Linked DNA regions of Nothobranchius furzeri. The protein of the gene in region 2 purifies or fractionates together with the protein of the main gene of each other region. This does not show direct contact. Links are inferred from orthologs where the notes say so. Each region holds a gene or a part of one and is shown on either strand. Other genes may lie near its edges. The genes, in order: tmem59, pomk and ghitm.

The links.
Region 1: the proteins of pomk (region 2) and tmem59 purify together in Homo sapiens (affinity purification with mass spectrometry; 3 studies listed by BioGRID and IntAct, with this or other methods). This does not show direct contact. The link is inferred for Nothobranchius furzeri from reciprocal best matches to the Homo sapiens genes POMK and TMEM59.
Region 3: the proteins of pomk (region 2) and ghitm purify together in Homo sapiens (affinity purification with mass spectrometry; 3 studies listed by BioGRID and IntAct, counting the BioPlex papers as one, with this or other methods). This does not show direct contact. The link is inferred for Nothobranchius furzeri from reciprocal best matches to the Homo sapiens genes POMK and GHITM.

What each region holds. Positions count from the first base shown.
Region 1 is NC_091751.1:44,168,619-44,178,877, forward strand, and holds tmem59 (transmembrane protein 59), read right to left. Parts: upstream 6,679-10,259; 5' UTR 6,610-6,678; coding exon 6,454-6,609; intron 6,271-6,453; coding exon 6,165-6,270; intron 5,954-6,164; coding exon 5,859-5,953; intron 5,790-5,858; coding exon 5,637-5,789; intron 5,522-5,636; coding exon 5,449-5,521; intron 5,311-5,448; coding exon 5,187-5,310; intron 5,072-5,186; coding exon 4,954-5,071; intron 4,813-4,953; coding exon 4,660-4,812; 3' UTR 4,224-4,659; downstream 1-4,223. Other genes in the region: lrrc42 (leucine-rich repeat-containing protein 42), read left to right, coding at 1,174-1,295, 1,371-1,456, 1,543-1,656, 1,735-1,819, 1,890-2,185; tceanc2 (transcription elongation factor A N-terminal and central domain-containing protein 2), read left to right, coding at 7,354-7,452, 7,531-7,672, 7,795-7,988, 8,116-8,304; cdcp2 (CUB domain-containing protein 2), read right to left, coding at 9,531-9,836, 9,914-10,092.
Region 2 is NC_091746.1:36,264,404-36,274,842, reverse strand, and holds pomk (protein O-mannose kinase), read left to right. Parts: upstream 1-4,388; 5' UTR 4,389-4,482; intron 4,483-5,213; 5' UTR 5,214-5,284; intron 5,285-5,369; 5' UTR 5,370-5,448; intron 5,449-5,927; exon of another isoform or gene 5,928-5,966; 5' UTR 5,967-5,972; coding exon 5,973-6,224; intron 6,225-7,707; coding exon 7,708-8,478; 3' UTR 8,479-8,695; downstream 8,696-10,439. UniProt on the Homo sapiens protein: Protein O-mannose kinase that specifically mediates phosphorylation at the 6-position of an O-mannose of the trisaccharide (N-acetylgalactosamine (GalNAc)-beta-1,3-N-acetylglucosamine (GlcNAc)-beta-1,4-mannose) to generate phosphorylated O-mannosyl trisaccharide (N-acetylgalactosamine-beta-1,3-N-acetylglucosamine-beta-1,4-(phosphate-6-)mannose).
Region 3 is NC_091756.1:41,666,519-41,676,621, reverse strand, and holds the start of ghitm (growth hormone-inducible transmembrane protein), read right to left. Parts: upstream 4,880-10,103; 5' UTR 4,772-4,879; intron 4,451-4,771; 5' UTR 4,429-4,450; coding exon 4,297-4,428; intron 3,575-4,296; coding exon 3,472-3,574; intron 3,250-3,471; coding exon 3,138-3,249; intron 3,046-3,137; coding exon 2,904-3,045; intron 2,781-2,903; coding exon 2,672-2,780; intron 579-2,671; coding exon 390-578; intron 1-389. Other genes in the region: chst3b (carbohydrate sulfotransferase 3), read left to right, coding at 9,422-9,624, 9,699-10,103. UniProt on the Homo sapiens protein: Plays an important role in maintenance of mitochondrial morphology and in mediating either calcium or potassium/proton antiport. Mediates proton-dependent calcium efflux from mitochondrion.

The DNA.
Region 1 (10,259 bases), on a different chromosome or scaffold from region 2:
GAATTACTTGATGTTATAATCCTGGACATTTGCACTAGACACTAAAGACACGTAATGCTAAAGTCACACGACACATTTCCATTTGTCTCACCCAATCAGAACCTTCGTGTGTTTGTATAACCCTTATTTCCATGTCAAATTCTGATTCACCAGTAAACCAAAATATGACAATTATAAAAACTATTCCACGCCACCTTTACTTGAGTTCAAGCGTTCTAGAGAAGTCTCGGACAGGCCATCCGGGCTTCTTCTTCAGCCAAAAAGAACCTCAGACAAGCTGGATAAAATCTGTTGCAAGTTACACCTGACCGCAACGATTCCTTCAGAATAAAAGCTGAACCTCACGACCCCTTCAGGGTCTCGGAGACGCCAGTGATAACCTGTCGTGACCTGGAAGCATTCCAAGACTAGACTGGTCGGCACCGCTGCTTTTTTACCGGCTTCGGTACCAAAGAGGGTCCACGAGGACCTCGGCAATCTGGATCTGAACGGAGGCTTCCCCTGGGTATGTAGACCGACAGATGGCGTTTCATGTGTGTTCTAAATCTCCTACTAAAGTTTAGAGCGAAACATTCACTCCCACTCAGAACTAACTGCTTCTCCGGATCCGCTGGTTCTGATAATAACATTCCACACACACACACACCATCATTCATCACGTCTCACTCCACCTTAGTCCATCAGTACACAGAGTGTACAGCGGTTAGTCTTATTTAAATTGTGTAGAAATAAATTTCTTAACTATTTTAAACCTGACTCTCTCTTTCCTTGGAGTTAATACGAAGTGTCGCTTAATCCCTGCAATAAAAAGTTCCGATCTTCTGGTTAAAATAGTCAAAGTTCCATCAGATTGATATTTCATAATTCTATGGAATCTCATATTTTATGGTTCATAAATAAGATGTAAATGACTCATTCTTTACATCAGCAAGGAGGATGCGGGCAGTAGAGGGCGACACTGTCCTCTGCTGCCCGCGGATAAAAGGAAGTGACGCCGCCAGCACTGGCGATCTCCGAGGATAGCTAGAGCTACTAGCTGAAACATGTTAAGTAGTTTTTACTAAACTGTGTAAGAAAATAACTAAAAAATGGATTACAGACAAAAACACAGCATGAACGCACAAAAGAGGAGATATATGTGGTACGTTATTAATAGCTGCTTTTCCTCCTCAGCAGCCTGATCCAGCTGTTTCTTGGTGGTAACCATCTGTCTGACGTTGCCCTGCAAAGACTGACCTTGCCCTTACGGATGATGCAGAAGAAACTGGACTGTCTCCAGCTCCTGGATATTTCCTGTTAGTAGTTTTTCATGTGGTTGTTGACACAAATTCTACTACCAATACAAAGGACTTTTGTTTTTCTTCATACAGACAATCCCATTTCAGAGCGGGCTCTCCGGTATCTCAAATGCTTCCCAAAGCTTTTAAAGCTTGATGCATCCGCAACCAATATGAAGGTAAGATGAAATGATTTGCTTTTAGCATGTGAGCTTATGTAATTATTATTATTTCTCTGACAGCTTTGTTAATTTTACACAACCAGCTTGACGCAGGATTGAGGACGACTGTGTGGAACCTGTTGGGGCTCATTCATTCTGACCGACCCCTGGAGACATTTGATCACTCTGGATGTAAAACTGAAGGTTGGGCAGAGCAGGTAAATAATTTCAGACATAAATGAGCACAGTGTGCTACAAGAACAACACAAAACTGATAAAAAATGATTTATTTGCAGGTTGTAAATCAGTGGGAAACAAGTGGCTTACAAGTGCCAAAGCAGAAGAGAGTTGAAGAATTGCGGGCATCTGCACTTGGTTTTTGTAAGTTGCTTGGTAATTTAAAGACCATTTATCTCCACACACTAAATGATTAGTTTATTTTTCCCTGTAGTTGGCAGACAGAGGTTCATCAGAGATGCGATGAACACAGCGCCACTGACCGGTGAACAATTGACAGAGTCCAACGCAGAGAAACTCCATTTCTGCAAACCTGTAACAAACGATTTCACGAAGGAGACGCCGGTTCCTTCTGCAAGAAACCACCAAGTCCCGTCTTCCTGTTGTAATGTCAACAAAAGGAAGGGAAAGTCAAGCAAGGATGGCACATCACATCACAGTCCCCCTAGCAAGCGTTCAATCTCATCGGGTTTTACAGAGGAGGACTTAGACTTGTTGAGCAGCTATTAAAAATGTGGCCATACCCAAGCACTATGAGGGTGACAGAACGATGCGAGAGAAACCAGAAGTATCCTGTTATACTTTAACGTTCAGAAATTCTAAAACTGTTTTTTGTTAAACATGTTTATTCTGTAAATAAATTGTTGCATTTTGAACGTCTTCCTTTCTACAGTTTGGAAACTCACCCAAATAAATAGCTGAACATCCACAAAGACTTGGAACAGTAAAAGTGGACAAAATGTCCTCTTGGGTCTTCCTGCTTTATAACGCTTGGGTCCTCATAAAAATACACACCGCCACAACCCTTCTGGACATATTCAGTAGCAACTTTAACCATGAAGCGATAGTCTGCAAAGAACTGCTGACCTTAATGTATCACTTCATGTGTCCACGTTGTTTTATTCTTCATGTTGCCCAAAGTTGTCTTGAGTGCAGCTGTCTTACTCAAGCTGCTGAAAGCATTATAAGCTGCTCGGCCATAAAACACACTAATATTTATTGGAACCACCTCTAGCTTTGATTACTAGTCACACATTCTCTGTGCCATTGTTATAATAAGCTTCTGCAACGTCACAAGATTTATTTCCATCCTGAGTTGCATTCATGTTTCACCAACATTTTGCATTAATGATGGTAGAGTCTGACCGCTGCACAAAGCCTTCTCCAGCACATCCCAAAGATTCTCATTGGGGTTAAGGTCTGGACTCTGGTGGTCGATCCATGTGTGAAAATGATCTCATGCTTTCTAACCCCTCTTTCACTATCTGAGCCCAATGAATCCTGGCATTGCCCGTGTCATCAGGAAAGATGGAATAACCTGGTCATTCAGTATATTCTGGTGGTCCGTCGACCTCATTCTTGGAGCACATCCTGTTGCTGAACCTAGACCTGACCAACTGCAGCAAGCCCAGATCATAACACTGCCCCCACAGGCTTGTACAGTAGGCATTAGGCATGATGGGTGCATCACTTCATCTGCCTCTCTTCTTACCCTGATGCACTCATCACTCTGGAACAGGGTCCATCTGGACTCATCAGACCAGTTTTTATTAATGTGTTGGACAGTTCTTAACCCAGTTGTAGTCGCTTCTGCGTCTCTGATGTTTTCTCTACATATCAATGATCTGACCCGTCTCAGACTAACATATTTTTCACGACCACCAGATGCCTTTCATGGTTGTTTAATAAATGAAAAACAACTGATTGTACCGGTTAGGGTTAAATAACTTGTTGCAGCCCATGCAGAAATTATCCAATAGGAGGCTCAAACCTATTTGCTTAGTTAAATCTGGGCGGTGACTTTTTTTATTTTATTTTTTTGGTTTGGCAGTTTTATTTCAGCTAAACACAGCTGCTTTCAGCAAGCACTTTCCACGGGCTTTTATAGGTGACATCAGTGCAGTTCCCCTTAAAATCCAATTATTGGGAATCTACCTGAAGGAAAATTATAACTCTGGAAAAACTACATTCTTTACATAGTGGCAGAAAGACTACCCAAGTGAGAAATAGTTATAATTAATTACTTGTGTGGTTTCTGACAGAAGTAGCAATCAATACATTATTATAAGTTAAATGGGAACAAATGGAAGTTTCTGACAGAACGAATGAGTTGTTTTTATGGACTGTAGTCAGACCTGCTTTGCTCTGCTGTGTGCAGGTAGTGTAACTCCATTTCACAAACACATTCCATCACAACTTCATTGTGAAAAAAGTGACAAAAAGCCAAAGTCATTCGCTCCAGCCGTGCATGAACAGCTGGCTGCAGAGTCAGCAGGATATTTGTGAAAGTATAAATAATTGGTCAGAAGAGATTTGCATGCTCCACAGAACACGTTGAAAAAGTTAGACCTTTGTTTACTTTGCTGCAGGTTCACACAGAAGCTTCAGTGAATTTAAACCACAGACAAAACTAAAATGTGCTTTTTAAATAATTTTCTTGCCATGTTGCGGTACTTGTAAAGAACTTTAACATACAGCAACAAAAAAATCCACCTCAAACAGTTTTCATGAATTGCACTTCTTTAAGGGAATAAACTGAAGCATAAAAGCCTTTTTGTCTCATCATAGATTTTACTGTAGAATGTTATTGGAACATCACTGCAATAAAAACATGAGAACAAATGGGAAAAGTCTGCAGAGTTAGCACAAACTAATTCATCAAAAAGCTGTAGGTTAAGGGTGACACTTGCATCACTTCAAGTCACAAAGAGTTCAAATAAACATTCAATAAACGACACCTACACAGCAAAAATTAAAGAAAAGCCCTGAAACCTTTTTATTGTACTACCCTGATTAGTCTGTAATGCCTCCGTTATACCCATTAATCACCCTAGTTTCAAATGCGTCAAAAAGTTCAGTTGATACAAAATGTTCTGCAAGTTCTGCTGATACCACAAGCAGTTTGGGTCTTCATTTTGAGGATAAAAATCAGGTGAAGATTATTCCTAAAGGTGGAAATTGCTTCTGGAGTTCATCTTTGGATTCTAGATGTCAGACTGGCCCAAGTTGACCTTGGATGGAAGTGGTCCCGCCTCTTCCTCTGTCCCTTTGGAGGAGATGACGATCAGAGAGGAGGATGGGTAAGGAATCAGTTTCTGTTCTTTCATATAGTCTTTGTCACCGTAGATGCTCAGTTTCTAAAAGGAGAACAATTAAAAAAATTTTCAGTTCAAAAATAAAATTGATATAAAACTTCCAGGATCTAGGCAAGATGTTTTTTCCCCCTAGATTAGATCTTAGTTCTAAAGAGATGTTGGAAAGAACTTCTCAGGCTTTACCTCAGCAGGTACATACTGATCCACAGCAGTGGCCACTGTGGCACAGCAGATCCAGATCAGGGCCAACACAGACAGGAACAACGTTGATGTCAGGATCCACCCTGGTAGCCAAGGGTTCCTGATGAGAAAAGTGCAAACTCTAAGCTTCAAAGAGGCAAGAACCTTGGTGCTAATAAAACTCTTGCTCTGTCCAGATAATCAGCTCCCAACAACAGATATAAAAACAAACAAACCTGGACAGACAGCTGAAGAGGTTAGATCCATCATCATAGCTGCGATCACCAGACATATCTCTGTCCCTCTCTTGGATTAAAGTGCGATGGTATTCTTTGTAAATAGGATTGCTTAGATCAGCAACTTGAAGATAAGAAACAAAAAACTTGTAAGAAACCTAAGCATACTTTCTTCCATGCAAGGCAAAGGGAATGGGGGTGTAGTGATTAATATTATGACAACAAAAAAGGCCAGAGAGATTAAGGATTATGAAATGCATACAGCTTTTCTGTGGCTCCTCCTTAATGTCTTTGTTCAATTCAAGCTGGGAAAAGAACTCCACTTGTGGTTCAGTCTGTGAAATACGAGAAATAGAGGGTCAGAATTAAAAATATTTGTTGAATAACAGAGTTAACCGTGTTGTTTACAAATAAAGTTAAAGCAGATCATCAAGCTCGTGTCTAAAATACCTGGAAAATGACAACTTTTCCATCATCAGCCTGTAGGTAGAAGGTCCAGGAGGAAGTGATGAAGCTGTGGGCCTGACTCATTACATCATCCCAAAACCCTCTAACCAGAGTCAGTGGGAAAAGTAGATGAATCCGGGGCATCATGGCCTCCAACTGTAGAAACAAATTAAATACTGTGCACACTGTCCCTTCGAAACAAATCTGTCCAGTAGATCAGTGTACCTGTTCAACCCGCTGCTCAGCAAATGGAAGCTGATTATGACATCCCATGATGCATGCATACTGTTCATCAGTCTGGATGTATGCTTCCTTGCAAGCTGCAGAGGTTTGAGAAAAAAACAGCTGGTAAAACAGGACCACAGACAATAAAATTATAAGAGGAGGTGTTTTAGGTCTGAAACTGGTGTTAGGGTTGCCAGCAAACAAACATTTACTGCTTCATTGTTAATGATTACAAGGCTAGTCTTAGAGGCCTAAAGGCTGTGTAGAAACAGATTTAAACAAGCAAAGGCTCAGTTTGTGTCTTACTTGATTCACATTCGGATTTAGTCTGATTCAAATCTTCGCTGTCACGAACAAACTGACAAATGGAGAAAAGTCGACAGCCCCTCTGGCAGGCATAGAGTTCCTCCTCCTGTAAAACAAACGAAAGATCGACGACACATGACGCACTTTTGATTATTGCCTAAACAACAAATTTATACAGCAGACAACAAACCATCAAAAGACAGAACAAACATTTTAAAATGGCCATTTTCGCCAAACGTTAGCAAGCTAGCGCTAGCCGAAACAACTCCCGAGCAAAATGAATACTCACCCGTGGATACGTGTGCAAACTATATGTCATTCCACATGACTTATGGCAAGATGCTGTGTTCCCCAAAACGCTGTCAAAAACGTCTGAAGACGCAAAAGCGCACACGGAGACAGCAAAAAGTCCCAGAAAATAAACATAAAGAGACACCGTTCCCATTTTGGCTGAAAACCCAAACAAACAACACTCTCCGTCTTCTTCCTCATCTACCCTAATCGGTTCGTGTTCTCGCGAGACTTGCGATAAATGTTATTCATGACTCCCAAATAGTTTTTTTTATATATTTTCAAAAATTATGACATTTGACTTAAATTATATGGCTAATATTTGGTATAGAAAACTAAATGTTTCATGATAAAACTCGAATCTATAAAGAAGTAGCCTTATATCAGATTTTATGTTTTCTTGAGTCACATCTTATTTTTGGTCCTTTTTGCATGCAACAAACAACATCGTTTCATTGACTGATTTTTACTAAGATTATAAAGTTCACAGATAAACACTAGAATTGGATGTTCATTACGTGTTTTATATCATGTTTGAAACAAACAGGTTTCAATTGCCCTAACCGTCAGTTAAGCAATTCCTCACTGTACTTGAAGGCAGCATCACTACTGCAAGAAACTACCGGAAGTATTTTACTTTCAGATGCCTTTACGCTCCGCTACACACCTACTGGCATTTATACACAATGGATTAAAAATCGTTCCTATTTTGAGATAGAAATGGTTCAATATCTTTATTTTTCACGTGGGTGGGTCTGGAGCGGTAACATTTAACCTGGCAACTGCTAGCATCTGTTAGCTTAGACTCAGTTAGCTCAGAAGGTCACTAGTTAGCTCAGAAGGTCGGAAAATAGATTGTTTTAACTTCAAATTCAAGCTGCAGTTTTGTTTTCTGAAGATGGACAAGTTTGTAGTTCGGCTTCCTAAAGGTGAAATACCCAAACAATGGAAAAGCGACGAAAAGATTTACAAACAAACTACAATTGAATCCCTACGGGTGAGCAAATCGATGTTATGTGAATTGAGTTCCTGATAGATATGTTTACTTAGTAGCTTTCTCTGGTGTTTATGTAAGAGAGTGGTGGTGATTGAGGACATCATGCGTTACAAGTCAACGCTGGAGCTGCCAGAACAGAGAAAGGAAAACCTGCTGAGTGCCCTGACAGAGCTCAGCAAGAAGATCCCATCCAGAGAGGTGCTAAAGAGCACTAAAATAGGTACAAAACAGGAAAACCTTGTTTCCTTTATGCTGTGCTGATGTCCACTGGTTGGTTATAGAAGGTTACAAAAGCTATGCAAGTGTGAAAAAGGTCCTTGTTGAAAATATCTTTCCCCTCAGGTCTAACTGTCAACAAAATGCGAAAGCATCTTGATCCTGAGGTGAGCTCACTGGCAGCAAAGGTTTACAATGACTGGAGGACTTTTATTGAGGAGAACTCCAATAAGCCATCTATTGAAGTACGTTCTGACAAACAATCTGAGGGACTCAGGAGTAACGCACGAAGAATGCTGTCTAATGCACTAGAGGTCAAGGTGAGAAAAGGCCTCTTGGTTAAGTTTGTAGTCATAGTTGAACTCCTTTTGTTTTACTCTGATCTCTTGATTTTCTCCTAAAAATTGTAACAGTCTTCTCTTGTTTGTGTTTCTGTCTGACACACAGGAGGATTCTGGTCTTATAGACAACATGGAGAGAGAGGTTTTTCACCAGAGCCGGCGGTTAGTCAGCAGTTCATACAGGCGGACGGTTAGAGCGCTGGTGTTTGCATTCAAACACAACCCTGATGTCAGAAGTGAAGTGAAGGACAGTAAAATATCAGTTGAACAACTTGTATCTAAATACAAAAAATAAGAAACAGAGCCTCAGACAGTGAAATCTAAGTTTTTAATGCATTCACATTTTCATGAAGCTTATATCATCTTGTTTGTCTTTGCTGAAGAAAATGCAAAACAATTGAATGTTTACACTTTTTTTACTGCAGATAAATTGTTAATTAATAGAAATGATGACCAGAAAAAACTTTGTCTTTTGTAGCTGATTTTAATTTCTAACAGATTTACTGTATAGTAGTCAAGTTTCAAGTTAAGCACAAGTCCAAATGGGCAACGGTGGCACAGGAGTTAAGTGCTCGCCCCGGAATGGGAAGGTTGCAGGTTCGAGCCTCGCTCAATCTGTCGCTGTGTTCTTGAGCAACACTTAACCCACCTTGCCTGCTGGTGGTGCTCAGAGGGACTGGTGGCGCCTGTGTACGGCAGACTCACCTCTGTAAGTGTGCCAGGGGTGTGAATGGATGAATGACTGATTCTGTTGTAAAGTGTCTTGGGGGGTTCCAAGACTCTAGAAGGCCCTATATCAAATACATGTCATTTACAAATGATCACAGTTTATATCATAATTAAAACAGGCTTTAATCAAAGTCATGGCATAAATGAAATGCTATTACAGCCACATAAAAAATCTGTATTAAGTTTAAAAAAGTAATGAATAGTTTGAAATATTGGCATTATTTTACCAAACAGCCAAGCCTGGCTACAACTGATCTGGGAGCAGTGTAGGATAATCAACAGAACAATGAACTTTATAGAAGTTTTGAAAAGGATATACTTAGCAAAACTCGACTTTTGCATAATTTTCTGCTGCCATGTGGGTCTCTACTGCCTCTATAAACACTCCAAATGTGAAAAAACCCATTCATTCATTTTCTGTCAGTGTTTGGTTTTAGGAATTATACGACTAAAACAGTTTGAAAAGGCTGTTTGTGATGTCAAAAATTGGCAAATAAGCATACAACCATCTCTCACTTCAGGAGAGATCTGCTGCCGGAGGAGCAGCGGCTCTACTCCGAACCCCTCCCGGGAATCAGAACTTCTCAGCTTATAGCAGCCTGAGTGGTAGAGAGGTGGGCAGACCAGCTCTAACTTGTTATTTTTTTAAGTGACAGAGCCCTGAAACGACTCATTCTGGAAGGTACTGAAAATGTCAAAAATAAAACTGCTAAAATCACTTAACGTGACCATAAAATAATATTTCTTGAGAAATAAAGTCACATGTCTCCTTTAATATTATTTTTTAAATCACTAAAGAAGCACTAACCACACAATAGCTATCACCATGAGAATGACAGCTAGAACACAGATGCTGATGAAGACAATATCACTCAAGTCATGAGGCTCGGTTTGTGGCTCTGCAGCAGAACTGCTGCTGTCTCCATCCGTCTGCTGGGCCTGCTCCTCCAGGCGACGCTCCTCTGCAGAAATGATCGATACCGAGGCTATCTTGCGTAGTGCATCGCACTGCACCTTATACTCCTGAACGTTCTGCTGCTTCCCATCGGAGAAGTCTATGTAGAGCTTGTTCACAAGCATGGTAATGTTCCGGTGTTTCTGTAAGGAATCAATATGCCATTAATTAAAGAATGTAGATATTTGTCTTTAAAATCATGATAAAGAAAGCTAGGTACCTGGCTGGCTGTGCCACAGTTGACAAACTGTGCTAGTATTTTGTATGAGGTGGCGGTTAACTGGGCTGTGCAGGTTGGGTTGCCCAGGTAGATGCTTTCCCGGTCCAGCTGAGGTAAGGACTGTTGAGGGATCAGAATGGTAAACTCTGATCTTGTGCAGCTAACATTTACAGGCACCACTGGGAAGAAGACAGCTCAGTCATTTCATGAGCAGCGTAAGAAGGAAAGGGAGAAGAGTTGTTTGCTTAGATGAATGTTAAAGATTTGCTTTTGGCAAGATCAAATTTTGCTGGGATTTGGACGGCAAACATAGCAAGCAGTTGGTGACTATCCTAAACCTACAGTC
Region 2 (10,439 bases):
TTGTGTGAAAATATGTCCAGGACTACAAATGTGCTCTACTAAAGGGACGTCATCGAACCAGACAGAAAAAGAGAGAAAATGGCTGTAAGTTCAGCGAACTTCAAATCATTACTTCAGGAAGGAAAGAAACACCATAAATATGGCTATTTCGTAAGTAGCAGCTACGCTAGAGCAGAGGAGATTCTGTGGTGATGTCATATATGCGTCATACTGACATCTGATTTGTAGTCATGCTAATTACAAACATTTATAAGCTGATGAATCTCAAAGTACATGACTGGGGTGGTCGAAACACACTTCATTACTTTTAATTTAAATAGAAGTACAACTAGTTTACTCAAGGTCTGACTAACAACTTTCTAGCATTCTTTAAGAATAATATCAGAAATATCAGGGCAAGTTTTTCTACCCCATCTACTTCCTACCCCCATCCAACCCCTCCCTCAATCTTGGTCTGTCTTTAGTCCTGTAGATTTCCAGAACATGTGCCTCATTCAGAAACACATGAAACCAACCTCATGCCCTGCTGATTTCATTCCTACTACCTTAATCAGGATGGTTAACCAAATTGGCTCATGCATGTCATGCTGGGTGGCAATTTCTTGACCCACGACATGCAGAATCACTTCACAGAAACAAGTGTGTAAATGGTTTATTTTTAAATGAGGAGCTAAAGGAGGGACGGGAACCAAAGATGCTCAGTACTGGCAGCAGGATTCCAGGAGGAGGTTCTGAGGAGGGAGACAGAGTGAATAACCGGTGGAATAATGGAGATTTTATCTTGAGGCTAAGCTTACCGTTTCTTGGTAGCGGTGGAATGTACAGGGAGGGTTTTGGTCAGGTCCAGGTGAGCAGAGGATATCCAGAAGGTGAGAGAATTGATTTATCCAGAGATGGAGGAGCGGAGGTTGATGAGGGCAGGTGAGCGGCTGAGAGCGGGCAGCCAGGGGAGGAGGCAGTGTGGTCTGGAATGCAGGAGTCCAGGTTGGTTCTGGAGATGATGGAATGTGGAGAGAAACCTGAAGGAGAGCAGGGAAAGACATTCAGGGATTTCAGGCGGCAGGTTAACTGGAACGAGATACAGATACAGATACAGATACAGATACAGATACAGATACAGATACAGATACAGATACGAGGCAGGTTAGAGGCTAGAGCTATCCAAACAGAGAAATCATCCGGCGTGGTGAAGTGTCACACTGCTCCTTAAATTCCCTGGGCCTTGATGATGGGATCAGCTGCAGCTGGTAGCTCTCAGACACGCCCGCCTGTGGACAATGCTCAGCAGAAAACAGAGTTACAGGCAGGCAGCTCACCACGGACCATGACAATGCATTGTAGATTTTATTAATTTATCCCTACAATCTGGCTCTGTACCATCTGTTTTCAAACATGCAGTTATTGAACCAATGCTTAAAAAACCAAGTATGGACTCATCTCAGCCTAAAAATTACAGACCCATTTCTAAATTACCCTTTATCTCTAAAATATTGGAAAAGGTTGTGGCAGATCAACTGATTACTTTTCTGGAACTACACAACCATTTTGATAAATTCCAGTCTGGTTTTTGTAAAAAAGCATTCAATAGAAACAGCTTTGCTTAAAGTTTCCAGTGACATCATGATGAATGCAGACAACGGGGAGGTCACAGTGTTAGTATTGTTGGATCTTTCTGCAGCGTTTGACACTGTTGATCACAACACCTTAAGTAACAAACTTGGTGACTCAGTGGGGGTCTCTGGAACTGTTCTGGACTGGTTTAAATCGTACCTTTCTAACAGAAGTTACAGTGTCTGTATAAACCAAATTATGTCAGATTCTACTGATTTGTTCTGTGGGGTACCTCAAGGCTCTGTTTTGGGTCCACTGTTGTTTCTGCTGTACAGACACCCTGTTGGACAGAATCTTGATTCTTTTCATAATGTCTCTTATCACCTATATGCAGATGATATTCAGCTGTACTGTTCCTTTAAGGATTCTGAGTTCTATAAACTGTCTGAATTACTAGAGTGTCTTTCAGCTATCACCAGCTGGCTAGAAGATAACTTCCATCAGTTAAACTCTGAAAAGACTGAATGTCTGATCATTTCCCCTGAGAACATGGTTCCCCTGATTAGTCTAAAACGTAGTCATTTATCCTCTGCCGTCAAGACAAACTTAAGGAATTTGGGTGTTGTTTTTGACCAATGTCTCTTGAAGGTCACTCAAAAACTTTGGTCCGAAACTGTTTTTATCATTTAAGAAATATCTCCAAACTGTGAAGCTTGGTGTCAAAACATGAACTTGAAATGGTTATCCATGCCTTTATTTCCTCCTGTCTAGATTACTGGAACACACCTTTCACATGTTTTAACAAAAAAGCCCTTGACCGCCATCAGTTGGTCCAGAACTCTGCAGCGAGGCTCCTAACTGGAGCAAACAGAAGGGCAAACATCACTCCTTTTCTAATGTCTCTGCACTGGTTACCCGTTAACTTTAGAGTTCATTTTAGAATCCTGACTATAACTTTCAATGCTCTACGTGGTCAAGCTCCTCCTTATAACCCTTACTGCTAACCCTTACTGAACAGTTAAAGCCTTATGCTCCAACCCGAGCCCTCAGGTCCACACACCAGAACCTTCTACAAGTTCCAAAGTCCAGATCAAAAGTGGAGGTGATCACACCTTCCAGACTGTTGCATCCCGACTCTGGAATGATCTTCCTTTATCTTTACGCAGCGTTGACAGTCTGAACACTTTTAAAAAACAGCTGAAGACCCTTTTATTTAAAGCTGCTTTTAACTAAACCCTTTATTTCCTTATTTTTAACTCAGATTTTATTCTTTAATCTGTTTATGAAATTTTATAATTTTATGGCTTTATTTTTTCTGATGTTAATCTAATTCTGCTTTGAGATCATTTTGATTTTATGATGTTAATCTATTTATGATTTTATGACTTTGTTTTATTTTGTTTTGATCTATGTGAAGCACTTTGTGATTCTATGTCTGTGAGAAGTGCTATATAAATAAAATTTACTTACTTAATTTACTTACTAACATATGTGCGATCCAGCGCATAAGGCAAAGCGGATTTGAAAATAGCTCTTTTAGCCACATTGACTTGCATTCATTTTTTTTTTTGTTCTTCCGGGGACCCATGAGCCGACTGGAAAGAGAGGAGACTTAGGCTCCCCATAGTTGCTCACTCTGGATTTGGAGAACGAGGAGACCCACCCAATTTGGCGGCTACACATTTACGCTCGGGTGCAACTCATTTCTTATGTGGCTCTAGTTACTCAGGATTGTGGGAAAGGATATTATCTGTAGATCATTGAAATTGTTTGAGGATTATTTATCTAAGATATGTTTAGAGTTTGTCATTAGAATTATCCTCGTTCTTGATCTGTCCCTTTTTAATTATTACAAAATCATAATTAAAATATTTATTTTAAAATCTATTTTTGTTGCTTTACCCCATTCATGCTTCTTGTCCAAAGGTTATGAATCAGTCTTTCATCTCAATGCATAGGCCTACTGCTCTGAAAGCACTGATTAACTTCTGTTTTTTATTCGTTTTAAAATGTTAATCTAGAGAAATATTGCCTTGTCACATTGCCTTGTCACACTCTGTCTACCATAGAAAAATCTATCGTTTTAAAAAATATTTATACTTCTTAATACAGATGTTATTTTTCTCCTTCACCAAGCATCAGTAACAACTGACTTGGTAACTCTGATGTGAGTACCAGTGTTTCCTATCTATTTTTCTTTCTATAGACAATTTTCTGACTGAATAGTTAGCAGCAGGAACCATTTACACAATCCCAACAGAGTAATACATCACACATGACTGAACTGTCACTGTTTCAAGTGTTTCTTACAAATTGTTTGGAAAAATTTAATGTGCATATTTAGTGAGAAGTATGGTTACGGTTAGGCTAAATCCTTGATAATAACAGTTTTCTTCTCTTGACAGGATAAAACACAAAAGCCATCACATAGAAAAATTAAATGTATCAGTTTATGGTCTACATGACAAAGTGAAGTTTTTAACCTTTCTAATTCCTGCCCATGTAGATAGGACATGAAGGGGATTTATAGGCCAAACAGCATAAAAAGGTAACATTAAATAAAGTACAAGTCAAAAAGGTTTGGCACAATACAAGGTATTAAATCATACACTTCATAAAATAACAAAATGTCCAGCTGGGTTATGTTTATACTGCAATCGGTTCAATAACTGTATTAGATGCAGTCAGGAGAGGAGAGGCCCCTCTGAGGCATTTTGTTTACTGAGTAAAAACTAGTCAGGTCGCTCGTGTCTCAATGAGATTCACGTGTATAAATAAAGGTGAAAATTATTTAAGTTCGGAAGACGACCCATTTATGTCCCAGATTCCAGTCCAGTAGGTGACGGTAACACTGAAGTAGACTGCTTACAATCCGCACCAACGAAGAAGAAAACCGACGAAGAAGAAAGATGTCATGTAAAGTCTGCTCATGTAAGCTTTAATTTCATAAATTTATATTATAAAACATTTCTAGTCTCCACAATAGATGGAGACCCATGTTCAAGCTTGTTCTTAGGGCATAACGTTTATATATATATTTCTGCTGCAAAACAACCAGGTCTTAACAGATTTAGCTCCGGATGAAACGTTTTCTTTAGGATTTCTGGATCATAAATAAAGGTTTGTTCGATTAAAAACCCTAAATAGGTTCTACCCTGTTTTACTCTAATACGTTGGAGAGATTGGCTCCTTCGATCTCACGAAACGATGTCAAGACTCCGGGTAAAAATGTAGGATTAGATTAGATTAGATTAGAGGGGCTAAAATGTGGTCAGTGCATCAGAGCACACTGGTGCAGAGGAAAACGCTACAAACACATGACGATGCATTAGATTGCCCCCACCTGAAAAGGCTGTGCTGTGAAAGTGAGGATGCTGTAGGTAGAAGCTGCGTGCAGCACCAGAGGTCCAGTTCCTGAATCAGTAGAACGCTGAGTCTTTGCTGACATAACTTTCGAGTCTCTTATTCTCAGCGTGGTAAAAAAAATAAAAAATAAAAATACACAACTCAGCCTTAGTATCTGCATGCCAGAGATGATCAGCAGCTGAGCTGCAGTGCTGACGAGCTTCTTTCTTTTTTCTGAAAGTACATGCTGATAGTTTCTACAAGTTGAGTTAAAACCATTCCTGACCTTTGTAGCTTTATGTTTCCTTCTAACTCAGGGGTCCCTAAATGATGGACTGCAGTCTGAAGCCAGACCCAAATGAGGTTCTGTCTGGACCCAGATTACCTGGTGAATTGAATTGTTCTTACATGCACGCTCTTTTAACACTCACAGTTATTTCTCTAAAGCAGCATAACGATTTTATTCTTCACAGCGGTTGCTGAAGGCTGGCCCATGGTTTCCCTCTGCTCCCGGCTCTCAACCTCCGCAGAGTAAAGTCAACTGAAAGAAAGGTGATGAACACTACCATGACTGGGAATAAAACATTTTATTATTTATGCACCTGTCTGTCTGTGGTAGATCCTAAATCACACAATTTGTTGTTGAAATGGAAATGAACTCAAATGAAACATTTTATTTGGTTCTTTTATGAAACATTCATAATTTTAATTAATTAATAATCAAATCAATTAGTTGATGGTCATTAGAAGCAGCCTGAATCACTGACTGGATAACCTGGATTTTTTTAAAAAACTCACCTGAATATAAAACTCCAAAGAGTGCATGGCATAGACTTATTCTGTTCTTCACTTCTTGGTAAAATAACTATTTTACTTTTTATTCACATACAAAGTGTTTGAAATTGACATGTCAAATCTGCTGTTTGCTTTTATGAAAAAAAAATGCATGTAAATAAAAGTACTTTGCACTTGTATTTTTTTATATTTTATTTTTGTGCAGGTAAAATGTTAAATGTTTTTTCCACCTGCAGATTGTGCCTTCACAAACTAACACTTTCCATGTGAAGTAGATCACCATGGGTCAGCACAGCAGTGGTGTTTTCTCCCACAACGCCCCGGGACTCGCGCTGTGCCTCGCTGCTTTGCTTCTGTGTGCTGCAGTGATTTATCTGAGTCAGGACAAGCAGCAGCGACACACCCATGCAGGCTGTCTCCCTCAACATTTTAAACTGACTACCATGAGGAACTGTACTCCCTGGCTCCAGTGTTCACAGATACGTGCAGAAGTGCACAAGCTAAAGGTGATTGGCCAGGGAGCCGTTAAGAAGGTAGGTGGAGTTGTACTCGAGTATAAAGGCTATGGATGTTTTAGGATCTATCACAGCCACAGACAATATGTTACCTCAGAAAGCATTAGACAAAGTGTGAGCTATGACCGTGAACTTGTAATTTATATTAGCTAGCCTTTATTTTCCCTGTGGGATTGATAATGTAACGGAATCTGATTGAGAGACTCACCAGAGCCAACAGTCGGATAAGCTCATTTCTAATTCAAAAGCAGCCAGGGTGTCTATAATGGTGCTTTCACATCTGGTTCGGCACGGCCCAGCCCTGGTCAGGTATATTGTGTTCACATCTGGGTAATCTGTGTGGTTTTCGTTCTCAGCTGACCATTTTTTAAACCTGCTCTCTAGTGGTCCGCTTTGTGCTAAGCCCAACACACCCTCTACGGACTGATTGGCCAGCTGAAGTTCATGCCTATCTATAGCGGGAGCTTCTGACTGGCGGGTAGAATGAGCCCTCAGAGCCTTCCTGCATGTGCGATTCATTTTCAGTCTGCATGTGGTGGAGTAAACATCTTCTGTCACTGCTGCTGGGATCTTCTGCTCCAGCCTAGCCTGGCAAGCCAGACTAAATAAATGTATTATTTAGTCTGGCCATGCTCCATTGACGGCTCTCGGTTGTGGGGCGGGTTCTACCGTTGTCTTTCAAATGATCTCCGCATTCCACTGGACAGAGAATGTGGCATACTCTTGTTTCACTCTGTTGCATCATCCCACCCACCAGGCATACAGAGTGCCGTGATTGGCCCACAAAGCGGATAAAGCTCTGTGATTTGTTCACTAAGCAGATAGAGCGCTATGATTGGCCCACCATTATGGACCAATCACAGCTCTTTATGTGTTTGAAACCCCTCTAGAGAGCTGTGATTGGCTAGCCAGAGTCCTGTTAGGAGCTGCGGAGGTTCCAATGGAGCGTGCCTAGACCAAACTTTGCAAAGCAAGAATTTGGTCTAGTTCACTAGGCTAGCTCCAGCCAGGAGGACAGACTGTTGTGAGGAGCACTCAGTAAGAGAATAGGAAGCTGTGTGCTTCATTTCGGAGTCTCCAAAAGTAACACTGCTCACGGCCTCCTTTTGTTTACTAACAAAGGAAAACACCACAGACTTTTCCACACGTCTTTTGCCCCGCCCAAATGTTTGGAGACATCCGCCTTCCTGAGAATAATAAGCAAACAGAACCTGGCCGCGCAGGGGTGGGCCAATGCTACCAAGACCGGACCGCGCCAGTCCAGATGTCAAAATGCCATAAGACATCATAGCAGGGCTGCAGTCTGATCGCCTTCATTTCACGCAGCTTTGATGTAGCAATTCATTCTAAAGAAGTCCCTGTTATTGAGATGCACCTGTACATGGCCACAGCCCCTACAAGCTCATCATCTGACAAAGCTCACATGTTAAATTTATCCCATATCCTGTCTAGAGGTGTATATGTTATGAGCTCACCAACCCCCCCTTTTTTTCCTCCTCAGGTTTATCTTGCAGAGTGGACAGGTCACAAGGTGGCTCTGTCTAAGCTGGCCTCTCTGGATTACCTGGAAGACTTTCTTCATGGATTGTCAATGCTGCAGGCCTTGCAGGGCTCACTAGTTGTGCAGTTGGTGGGGTTTTGCCTCGAAGACTATTCTATTGTTACCCAGCACCACCCACATGGCTCACTGCTCAACTTAGAACATGTTTTCAGACAACAGCAGTACCAGCAGTACAACACGTGGTCCTTACGACTGAGACTAGCCACAGATTATGTCACCATCCTTCATTACCTTCACAACAGCCCAGCTGGGCGGCGAGTAATGTGTGACTCAAACAGCCTGGAGAAAACGCTCTCACAGTTCCTGCTAACGAATGACTTCCATGTGGTGGTGAACGACCTGGACGCGCTGCCCGAAGTCAACTGGTCCAAAGGTTTACTGGTAAAATGTGGCCATCGAGAGCTCACTGGGGACTTTGTTGCCCCAGAGCAGCTTTGGCCTGTCAGAAATGATGGGACGCTATTTTCAGATGATTCCATGCCTGCATATGATGAAAAGACCGATATCTGGAAAATTCCAGATGTGACACAGTTCATATTGGGAAGGGCACCCGAAGGAGAATTGGTTCGCTTTCACCTTTTTCAGATTCACAACGATTGCAAGAAGGAAGACCCTAAACTCCGTCCTTCAGCTCTTGATGTGTTGAAAGTGTACAGATCAGTTTACAGGGCCATGGTGCAAGACGCTTCTGGTGTTCGGGAGATGCTTTAGAGCAGGGTTATACAAACCTTTCAGTAGGAGGGCCAGATTCATCAAGGTAGAAGTTCTCATGGGCCACAAACATGATTATTTTTAGGGCTGTCAGTTGGCCGAAGGTTTTAATAGTTGTTAATCACATGAGTTTCATAGTTAACTTGTAACTTTGTGCACTGGTCACGGTGGAGCCTGGAGATGCGTGCACGGTCTGGTTGACAGTAACGCCTGTTTTACTCACAGAGCAGACATGCCTTCTTTTACACTTAAGAGTTTAAAACTTTCTCCCTCCTTTCATGTTGACATGCTCTAAGTAAGATGTAATATTTGTCTGCATGAATTAATGAATGTGTTAATGCAATAACATGTTAACTTTGACAGCCCTAATTTTTGTCATGAAAAAATGCAAACTAAAGTTTATTGTGATTTTTTTTATTTGCACTGCTCAAATTTTAACATCATTTTGATAAAAAAAACATGTTAAAATTGTTACTCTACTTCAGCAGCCTGCTGAGGAGACAAAATTGCACTATTGTAGAAGAAGTGGAGGGCCGCATATTCCAACAAGCCTTCTGTAGAGGGTAACACTGTCCAGAACCACTGACTTTTCTCTCTGTAAACAAATAAAACATCTTTTGAAAGGATCACACTTTGCTGTATTTTTATTTTACTTTTTGTAGGTTTTAAGAGTCAAAGAGAGGACAGGAGCAGAGCTGGTCAAGTAGCTTTCAATCTTCCTACAGACTGACCTGGTCTCTAATCCCCTCTTGTGGTCTGACCTAGCAACACAGGGCGGTTGGGTGGCACCAGACCTTGAGCAAGTGTCTGATGCTATAGTTCATTCGTGGGTCATTGTTAAGAAAGTTGTGCATGTTATTTTTGTGGAAACCATATCCTTGCAGCATCTGATGTATAAAAGGGCAGAGGAAGAGTGGGTATCCGCGTTTCCATCCTTGAATATGGACCAGTCGGTGCTGTTGCTTTAAATCCCTATCAGTCTCACCTCTTGGTAACATTTGTGGAGCACATTCTTCCAGGTTTGCCTGGATAAGATAACCAGCAACTACCACCACTGCATCCAGGTCAGTGTTTACTGGTAGCAAGTAGCCCAGGGCTGTAGCAGTGGTAGGTTACGGTGGGGTGTAAACAGCTGTTATCATGATGGCAAAATATTCTTTTAAGTAGGTAGAAGCAGCAACATTTTACAGTCTGATACTCAAAAGGTCTGTGGAGTAGTGAGTGTCTACATAAGTGCGCTTTTGTTAGTGTTGCATCAGCATCTATTTGCACAGACCCTGACAGATGCAGGAGGTAAAGAAACTTGGATTTGATTTTATTAGCTGTTTATGTAATTTTCCCTTCCCTGATGAATGCATTAGTGTAGAATATTTGGAATGTGCTAGTCGAAGACTAGCTCCCCTTTTAGTTCTTTGTTTTACGCGTTTTATGATTCATGGCATCCTACCAGACTCGATGGGAATTCTGCTTGTCCAAGTTATCAAGAACAAATCTGGGAAGGTGACCTGCTTGGATTATTATTATAGTGCATCTGCACTAGCCAGTATTTTATCCGAGGTTATAGAAAAAAAATCCTACTTGACAGGATCACTGTGTATATTATTTCCTTGGATAATCAGTTTGGCTTTAAGCTAAAACATGGTACTGTAGCGGTCACACTTTATAGCGTGACAACTGCAAATTAATTATGACCAATACGATGTGATGATTCCATATAAATATGAAATATCAATCTGATTGATCACTGAATGTTTAATCAGAAGATTAAAGTTACTTTTACTTGTTCAGGGACTATAAACACACTTCACATTAATTCAGACAGTCAGGTAAATAGTTAAAAAGGAATTTTTTAAAAATCTTTATTTCATTCAAAAAAAAATAACACAACAGATACTAAACAATATTCATGAAAACACAATATATTTGAATGAAAGGGAGCAGATGGAAGAAAAATCTTATTA
Region 3 (10,103 bases), on a different chromosome or scaffold from region 2:
ATTTTCATCTCTATAGTCTGTTTAAATACACAAAAATGATCACATTTATCAATCAGTGTTTTATTTTGAATTTTTTCTTTTATTTTGTCAAATATACCAGCCAGCCTCTTCTGCTTTGGTTTGACTTCCTGCCAAAATTGACGGGGCTCACTGACAGCTCACGAAAAAAGAGCTCATGCCGAAACGATTGCTGCACGGCGCGGGCCTTCGTGGCGCTTCGCAGCTGATGTGACCGAGACCGTAGGTTAACAAGGGCGCCGATTAGAACCGCTCGTCGTTCCACTGCGCTTCATTACGCTTCTGCGTTTGGTGTGTTCCGGGCGTAAGGATCCTGTAGTGATAATCCTCACCTGTAATACTATTTAAGAACAAAATGTAACTTAACTAACCAATAGAGGAAGCAAACACTACTCCAAAGCCGACAGCCAATGGTCCTCCCATGTTAAGGAACTTTTCACTTGGCGCACACATGGCCACTGTAGAAAGGCCTCCCACAATGCCTGCTGTGTACCAGGCAGCCCTTATCATCAGAGGTCCTCCCAGGAGAGTCAGTGGAGCAATGACCGCACCCATCACACCTGATGGAAGAATCAAGAAAAAAAATTAAGAATAATGATGATAATAATAATAATAATAATATAATTTTTACAGCCCTTTTATATCAAGCACTGAGCAGACAAGATATTTGCAGATACAATAAGGCAGATAGGGTAAAAAACAGTAATATAACAACTGTACAGAATAAAAAAAGTGTTAATAAAATTTCTGAAATGACAAAAACAAAACTATAAAAACTATATCAAATGTATCACTATCTATGATCACAAACAACAAAACTGATTTGGTAACAAGTGTTACCTGTGTAGATTCACAAGACCATACTTCTGAAAAATGTTTTCTGTGATCCTTTACATTACTGCCCTCTAGTGGCTCTAGTATGAAACGGTGCGGAAAATCTGAGTCACAAAATATGTTGGTCAAAACAAAAGCAGGTTTCCCAGTAATTAGACAGATTCGTGCTGAAACCAAACAATTATAACACCGTTGGAGGTGCTGCGGTTTCAAGCTAAGCCCTTTTAAAGCACATCACAAAAATGCTGAAAGGACTAAATGTTTTTTTCTCGTTCTTAAATATTTAGTATAAGAGGTTTGTTGTCATTTTAGAATAAATACTACTTTGTTTCTAAATGAAGAAATGGTTTCTTCATCCATCTGAAAACAGCGCCTCTTGCTGGAAACCAGAAGTTGCAGAAGAAAAAAAGTTCCCAAAAAATGGATTTGCAGCAGCAACAATTAGCTCCAGATTGTGAATATATGAACATAAATTTATGCCAAATACTGAAGCTGCACAGCCATACAGTTTTAAGCCAGCAGCAAGAGTTAATGGGAACAAGCTAAACAGGGATAATCATTGAAATGGTGAAAGAGGAGCTGCTGAAGAGCATTTTTTATTTAAATATATTTCAACAGAAACTTGTCCGCTGACATATTACATTACATTAAACACGTTTCCATAAAAACAATTTTTGTTCTCTAATTTATGAGTTTTTAAGGTAACTAAATCATAACAGTGGCAACGAGGGGAACTGTAAAATAGTTACAAAGCTTTTGATGTTTGCTTGTTCAAGTTTAATTCAAACAGACATGAAATATATAATAATAATAATAATAATAATAATAATAATAATAATAATAATAATAGTATGTAATTTTAACAGTGATGTTGAGAGCAGAATAAAAGTTTTTACTTGTGTCTTTACTTCATTTTGTGGCATTGGAATTTCATGTTGTGCCTTAAAGTGACAATGTGTGTTTTCTGTGGCGATAGGGGGCGGTACATACCTAAATCATTGCAAGCAAGCGGTATTTTTGTGTTCGAGTAAGACCTTACCAATGGATGGCCATTAGGGTCAAAAATCCCTGAGAGCAGGCCTCCAGCAAAATAACAAGCACATCAGACTCCGTCATCACTGATAACGAGTGAAGAGGTAAATGTGTAAAACACTGTTTATGAATGGTGAAAGTTTTGTTAGAAATCTGTAAATGTGTTTTGTCCTCACGAGCTTCCATAGAAGGAAACAGGATGTAATCCTGATTCTGTGGATAAACTGTAGGTGAAAACTTTCACACCTGTTAATTCTTCCATTTAGGACTGGAAACTGTTTAAAATCTGTAAACTATTTTACTTCTTGTTCCCGCAGCCTCCCTGAATTATTCACCAAAAATGTTCCGGTATTAATTCATTCACAAAGAATCCCCCTCTCACGCCGCCAATATTTTCAACAACTGAGCATCATTTCATTTATTTTCAACAACATTTTGATGGATACATCCAGAGATTGCTTGTAAAAACTACACATTGTCTCTGCACTACATTTGGCAAGTTTGGATCTGGTCACTCTACTGGGAGGACATCCCCCATAAGACTGCCCCCCTCCACCACGCAGATGGAGCGCAGCAACCCCAAACACTGAACAAGAAACTGTACAGAAACTGCAGGTAAAAAATCCTGGTACCGCCCATGCCAAGGGCACAACAGCAGAATTCCCTGGAGGGAGCTAGGATCGATCCCACAACCCTACAGTTACTGGTTAACATGCTCTACCTTCTGAGCGACTGCTGCCCCAGCACTATGCCAACAAATGTTTCAGACACTGAATCACAATCAAACCTGCATGAAGCATCCAAGCGAGATGTTTTGGCACCGGGCTGTGCTCGTATGAGATGGACCGAACCAACATTCCTGCTCCAATCATTGCTGCAAAAGTTGCTCCAATGGCCTGGAATAAATCAGGAAAGTTCATGTGAAATAACCCATCTGAAAAAAATGTGTTTTCCCTAAGCATCTACGCTCCTACAAATATTTAGACTCCTTTAAAATGAACCAAAGCAGCAAAGCTCACCAGCCAGGATCCTCTCATCATCAACCCCATGAGCACCGGTGTTCTGCTCACAGCTACAGCCGACAGAGCAGTCAGTCCAACGCTGCCTGCAAAGTACATGTAGGTGGAGTGGATCCTGTCCTTCACATACTGAGGCCAGATCCTGCACAGGAAGAGATTAATCTTTAGAGGATGTGGAAAACCTTTTGTATGAATGTGGAGCTGCAAGAGTAAAGATTAAGCTCTGACGCTCACATCGATTTCTCAACGGCACCAATTTCATTAGACATGCCGAGTCCATAGTAGCACAAAGCTCCAAGGCCCAATGCTGCACCTCCAGCCAGAATCATTCTTCCCATGCTGTCAACTAGCAACAAAAGCAGATTTTACAGTTGTTTTTATACATTTTCCATAATGCCACAATATTATCCACAGCACTGGAACATTTCCTAAGTTTACGATCTTCTACACATCTAACACTCCTACATTCTTTGAAAGTTGATCTGTTTAAAGTGCTGGTTGTTATTTAACAAGCAATGGAAGAATAATGGGAAACAGCTATGTAAGAAGGCTTAATTAAAGCATCTACTTTTGATGGCTGTATCTGTTGCAGGTTCAAAAGCTGCTTCTTTCAGTTGCTCTCTGGCGGTCTTCACACGGCGGAAACCAAACCTGGCTTTGGAGGCGAAGCCCTACAGAAAGTAGAAGAAATGCCCAATGGTGACTTAGAGCTGGAATTTAGTTAGAAACAACCAGGAAGAACTACTAAGTTTGATCTAGTGGTAAAGATGTAGAATAATCTAGTGACGAGGGTCAGTACGGCTCCTAGTCTGGGATCTACCTCAGTTCTGTACCGTCTCAGAGCAGATATAGAGCTGGTTCTCGGCTTTATCAGCTCTGAAATGGTTGCTAATAATTAGTCCTGTATTGGGAGTAGTCTCAGAGCTGAAAGACACAGTTATTATTTTTGATGCACAGAATTAAAGATGCAAATATAGGAAGAAAGAGTAAGCTATTCTGTTGTGTTTTCTATGTCAAATTCAAACTCCCAACTAGGATGGGGCGATGGTCGAATAATTCGTCCCATTGCCCAACCCTAATCCCAACATCAATCTGTAAAGTGTGCAGAATCACAAACTTTCATGTTCCTAAAGCTAAGCAATCACTTGTTAGGGTTTTGGTCCGATAAACTAACCACTCAATCCTTACAGATTATAGTTCTAAAGTGCCTAAGTATGAGTTCAGGAGAGCCTGGAAGTATATAAAACCACAGCAACACAAAGTAGTGTAATGACATTGTGTGACATTCTTGGTTAAACAAGATTCAGATGAAAATTAAATAAATATAATCATTTTTGTTCTGATTAAAGAGCCACCATGGTCAGCAGAAATAGGTGTGGTAATATAACTTTACCTGCTGGGGTGTGATCAGCGTTGGACAGGCCTTGAGGGTGGGAGCTCTGAGGGCTGAAGAGCCCTGAGACAGAGCAGAGCGGAGCCCGAGGAGCGGGAGCGTCCTGAGACATGTCAGCCTCGCCACTAGCATGTTCGGTGCTGTTCTGGTCTGTCTGCAGGAAAATAAACAGGAAGCCAGGGAAATAATTAGACTGGTAATCCTCCTCCTCAACTGCGGTGTTTTCATTATGAACAGGTATCTCGTTAGGTGAAAGGCACTAAACAACCAACAAATATGCAATATTTACATTTTAATAAAACAAGCCAGTGCAGATTAGCTTATTTACCCTGAGCTAAAGTTCGTAGCAACAGTTAATGACGTAATGGATTAGTTACGACTCTGACGTCCTCACAGATCACAGCAATCAGACAAAACAGGTAATAAAAAACATGTCAATGATCCCAACAAGACTTTAATAAGAAACGATACTCACCGAAGTGTAAGAGCAACACTCTTCCAGTCACCTCTCTACTACAAGAGCGCAAGTTAATGACGCAATCGTTTTGCAACTCACCTTCCGGAAAATTCTAGCAGATGCGTCATGATTAAGCGACAGATATGGTGGGAATTGTAGTTCAAACATAGATACAAATATCTATGTATATCTAGTGCAAGCAGATTGTTGAGCGATGTAAACTGCTAAGAACCAAAAACAGCAGCACATGCATACATTTTTTTTAAAGAAAAACACTTTATATTTTTAACCAAGTCTCACAAGTCTATAGGTGATTATATTGAATGAACAATAATTAGTGTTACATCCTTTTCAAAAAATGTGTTAGCTAACATATTATATTATATTATATTATATTATATTATATTATATTATATTATATTATATTATATTATATTATATTATATATTATATTATATTATATTATATTATATTATATTATATTATATTATATTATATTTTATATTATATTATTCAGACTCCAATATGCTTTATTACCTCCATAGGATAAACATTTTATTTTTTGCTTACAGAAGTTTAAATCAACATGAAAGAGAAATTGATGGATGGAATAATGGAAACCATACAATAGTGTAGAAAAGAACAGAAACAAATATTATTAGGTCTTTTTTTTCTTTTTTTTTTACATTTCTGAAAAAGGACAGTTTTGCTTTTGCTGTGAGTTGCACTATACAGTCTTAAAGCCAGGAATTGTTTTCTGTTGTGTTTAGTGGCGTAACGTGATGCAATGAGCATTTGCTAAACAAAGTTCTGCAGCTGATCAGCATTTTTTATTATTGTTTGTTATTTATTGAGTTGATCTACACACACCCTACCAAACAACAAACGGACAAACGCCTGATGAACACGAGATTCCTGTAAGATTTCCATTCCACTTTCATGATGCAGATTGTGCATCTGTCCACTAGATGGGGGTCAAGGTCTATTGTTGAGATCACAACAGGGATTTTAACCATTAAATTTGCTCTAAAATCGCTACATCTCTTTGGTTATTTAGGGCAACATCTTGGTTTTACCCTGATAATGTATTTAAATTATGTTTGTGTTTCAAACTAATTTTGTCTGCAGTTGTTTGTTGTCTCTCAGCTCTCCGTGAGGGGCGCGCCTCCTGCCTCCAGCTCCGCTCCTCTGGTCCAAAATGTCCTGATCGATTCAGTGAGCTGAGACACTTGGACAGACTTCAGTTCACTGGAAAGATTGACCTTCAACCTGCGTAACATGATTTCGCTTTTCCTGTTCATTTAGTCAAATGAAAGAAGTACAGATGCGTTTTGGGGTAATAATTGTTTTTGGCCACATAACTGAAAGAACATTGGGAAAGTTTGGGATCTCTCTCCGGAGTCGCACTTTCAGGACAGGCTGAACAAGTGGATGAAAAGAAGGACGAATTCATAATGGTTGGTTCATTTCATATGTCATTGTACAAGCTGTTATGAAACACAACTTTTAACTATCTCAGATTATCTGTCAAATATTTATCTGACTAAATTCAGTACGTGCAGGATTATTTTGTTTTATTTTATTCTTCCTTTACCCCAAGTTTTGAATTACATTTATCTGACTTCACAAAAATAAGCATTCTTTTTAAATTGGAAGCTGTATTTAAACAAATTACATAAAAGTACAAAACTGTCAGTTTGTAAAAATGGTTCTAAAACAAGAAACATGGTAAATAATTCAAAAGATCCTTAGATGCTACTATTTTCATTAGGCCAATCAAATCAAAAGTCAGACCATTAAATCTTTCATTTTAGTTATTATAGTAAATTACTCTGATGGGTTTTATTTGCTGATCATTTGCTCCGACCATGTGATTACACACACAAGTGATTACAATAAATAAAAATGTGTACTTTGTATTTTCCTGCTTCTAACAAAAACAATTACACCCATTTCTCCTACTTATTTATCCTCTCACAGATATTTATGTTTGGAGAACAGTCACCATCAAACCAGGCTTTGGCGGCTGCTGTTTAATTTGTCTTCACATAAGATTTACATTAAATAAGAGGCAGCTATTAAAACCATTTGTAACAAGATGATAAATGGTGCACCAGCGGTTTTGTTATGAGCAGATGATCAAACGTGTCACATGCCTCAGTGGTTTGTGAATATTCACCAATGTCAGCTTGTGTGTATTTTTTTCTTCTCTTTTTAACACAGCAGATGCAATAAGCTGGGATAATTGGTGTACATCTAATGTACTATATAAATGACAAAACATCTGACTGCTTATTTACTTGATGAATTGTTGATGTGGAATACCTTTTTTTCAGTCTTCAAATCAGAAATGAAGGATGGTGCAGATGCGGGACCAGTGTTTACAGATTTTAATCAATAATAACCTTTTTTGTGTCATATTTCTCATAGTGTTCTTTTACCAATTAGTTCAGGTAAAGTAACTTTAGAGAGTACAATTAGATTGCATTTACAATTTTCTTCATTTCATGCATTTGACCATCAGACCTGTTCTAGTTGAGCTGTAACATCCAACAGTGTGACGTGTGAATGACCCAGCAGTTTATGTTCTGCCACCTCAGCCCCCCCACCACCACCAGAAGGGTCCGGAGTCACTCCCATGTAAAGGGACCTTTGTGGTTGTGGCATGCAGCAGGGTGGTGCAAGACAGCGTTGGATTTTCCTTCCAATGAAAACACGTCTCAGTACATGGGCTGTTCACCTTTTCATTACACGCCATTCCACATCAACAGTGCTCCACTGGAGCTGCAAACTTCCTGTTCCCACTCAGAGAATTTCACAGGCAGCACTCAACCGTTCCTTCTGTTTAGACTGCAGTCACTCGGACGCGCTCTTTTGCTCACAACTGGCCGGGACAGAGGTCGCAACAGGATGTAGAAACTTTCACACATTCAGGTTCACTCGAAGTAAGAAAATAATGGTCATTTATCAGGACTACATGCAGTTTTCGTGTCTAACACCGAAAAATGATAAGCATGAGGTGTTTGTTAAAGGCGTAGTTCACAAAAAAGTTGTTTTCAATATTATTTCTGATTACCATTGGTCACTTTGAGTTTTTCATGGAGGCTGAACATGATTCTGATAGAAAACCGACAATGAAACGCTAGGATTAGAAAAACCCTGACAGATCTACGTCACACTGTCACTTAATATTCATGGACTCACTCATATTGACTTAGGAGGAGGAAGGCTGTTGTTGGTTTAGCGTCCAGGAAACAGATTGTCTCGGCTAGTAGAAGCTAACCGTTAGCATTAGCAACCCCACCACACAGCAGAACTCCTTCAGGCTTTACTTATTTGTGGAGATAAAACATCAATGTTGAAAAGCAAACACAGTGAGTGGGAAAGTTGCATTGCTATTAGCCAAGTAGAGCAGAGATATGTCAGAACATCAGGAAATAAGACTCTAAGATCGTCTGATGCTACTTTCGCCTCCAGCTGACTTTTACTTCCTGAAACAGGTGCATCTGAGCTTCTTCTCCCCTGAGTATGACTTACAAGGCACGTGTATATGTTCAACAAGTAAACCACACCTTTAAATGAGGCATCAACGTCCTGCTGATGCTTTAGCAAATTTTTCTGTGAAGGGTGTTTCAATTACTCTTATGAGTATTGTTGACTCAAGAAAGGTGGCAGGATTACGTTAAACTCCAGAGATTAGTCAGGGATCTGCATCAAGCTGCTGCTATCTTCAAAGTAAACTACTGGTAATATTAATCTTTCAGAAAAGCGCAACATGTTCTAAACACGTGCCACAGCCCTATTTCTGTTTGAATAGCAGCTGATCGCCGCCTGCAGCATCCTGAGTTGCCCCCGGGTTTGGAGCACCATAATTTATCCTTCTGCAAGCAGGCCACCCCTTCAGTTTCTGCACACTTACACCTCTCAGCATTTAGACATGTGTCAGTTTCACTTTACGCTTTAGAACCACACAAACAGAAGAGGTCAACAAGGGCTTCTGTTGACAAAAAAACGTAGCAGATGGTTGTTTGGACATCGGGCTGCTCGGCTGCCTACATCTGCGGGGGGTTTAGTGAGTATCAGTCAAAGCCAGACAACTTGTGAGTTTTTTGGCTAGCAGCTTTGTAGTTGTGGGATAAGAGTTTAATTGGGAAGATTGTGCTTGATTGCAGCCTGTCGCTCACATTTCACTGTGCTGCCCCGGTTGTTTTTCTGCTCAGTTTTGAAAACATTCTAGACAGACTAACTCCTAAATACAGTGTCTCTGTGCAGCGGCCCTCAGTCTAGCTTGGTGGGTGGGCAAGTTCCTAAAATGCACCGCTGCATTTAAAGATAACAAGGACTTCCTTACAGAGTAGATTCTGTTTTAACTGTTGTTTTCTCTGTTTATCTTCATATGTAGAATAGTTTTGTTTCTAAGATAAGGTTCTCATCTCATTTTTGCAGAATTGAGAGCTGCTCTTGTCGCATGTCTAAACATTTAGGGAAGCTTTGCATTTGACTCAGCATCACAGTGCAGTTTTCTGTATCCAGCAACAGAATCAACTTCTCCTAAAGACCAAGCAAATATTACAAAGAGCTTGAAAGAAACTGAGATCAGACGCAGCTGTCCTCCAATGGGCAAAATGTGCAACTGACAGATGGATGTGTTTTTTTTCCTCTTACAGGATGAAACATCACCTACGACAGGGAATACAAACAACCAGAAGGCTCCTTAAGAAGGCAACTGGAGACTTGCGAGATTGGCAGAACCTATTAGGAGGCAGCGTGCGAAATAATATTCATCCAAGAATGAGGATCAAATACACAATACCCATCGTCTTCTTCATGGCACTGGTGATCATCGAAAAGGAAAACAAGATCATATCAAGGTAAGTCTTTGTGCTGTCGTGAACGTTAGGTTCACCAAAAAGGCTGTGCGTTTAACTTTATCTCCCTCTCTCAGGGTGTCGGATAAAATCACATTGAAGCAGAACGTTCCAGACCCTCTCCAGCCTGGTGGTCTCTCCCACATGCTGCTGAAGCACAATGCTTCCTTCCTCTCACACAGCAAGGACTTTGTGCTGATGAAGCGGCGCCTGGAGAACTACAGCAAAAACCAAGAGGCGATGCAAAAAGGACGGAAGCACGTTCTTCTCTTGGCCACCACCAGGACTGGCTCCTCGTTTGTGGGCGAGTTTTTCAACCAACAGGGTGAGAACATGTTCTACCTGTTTGAGCCACTGTGGCACGTGGAGAAGATGTTGACCCTGGAGACTGGAGGTACCAATGCTACAGCGTCAGCCAAGGCATATCGGGATGTGCTCCAGCAACTCTTCCTATGTGACTTCTCCCAGCTGGAGAGCTTCAT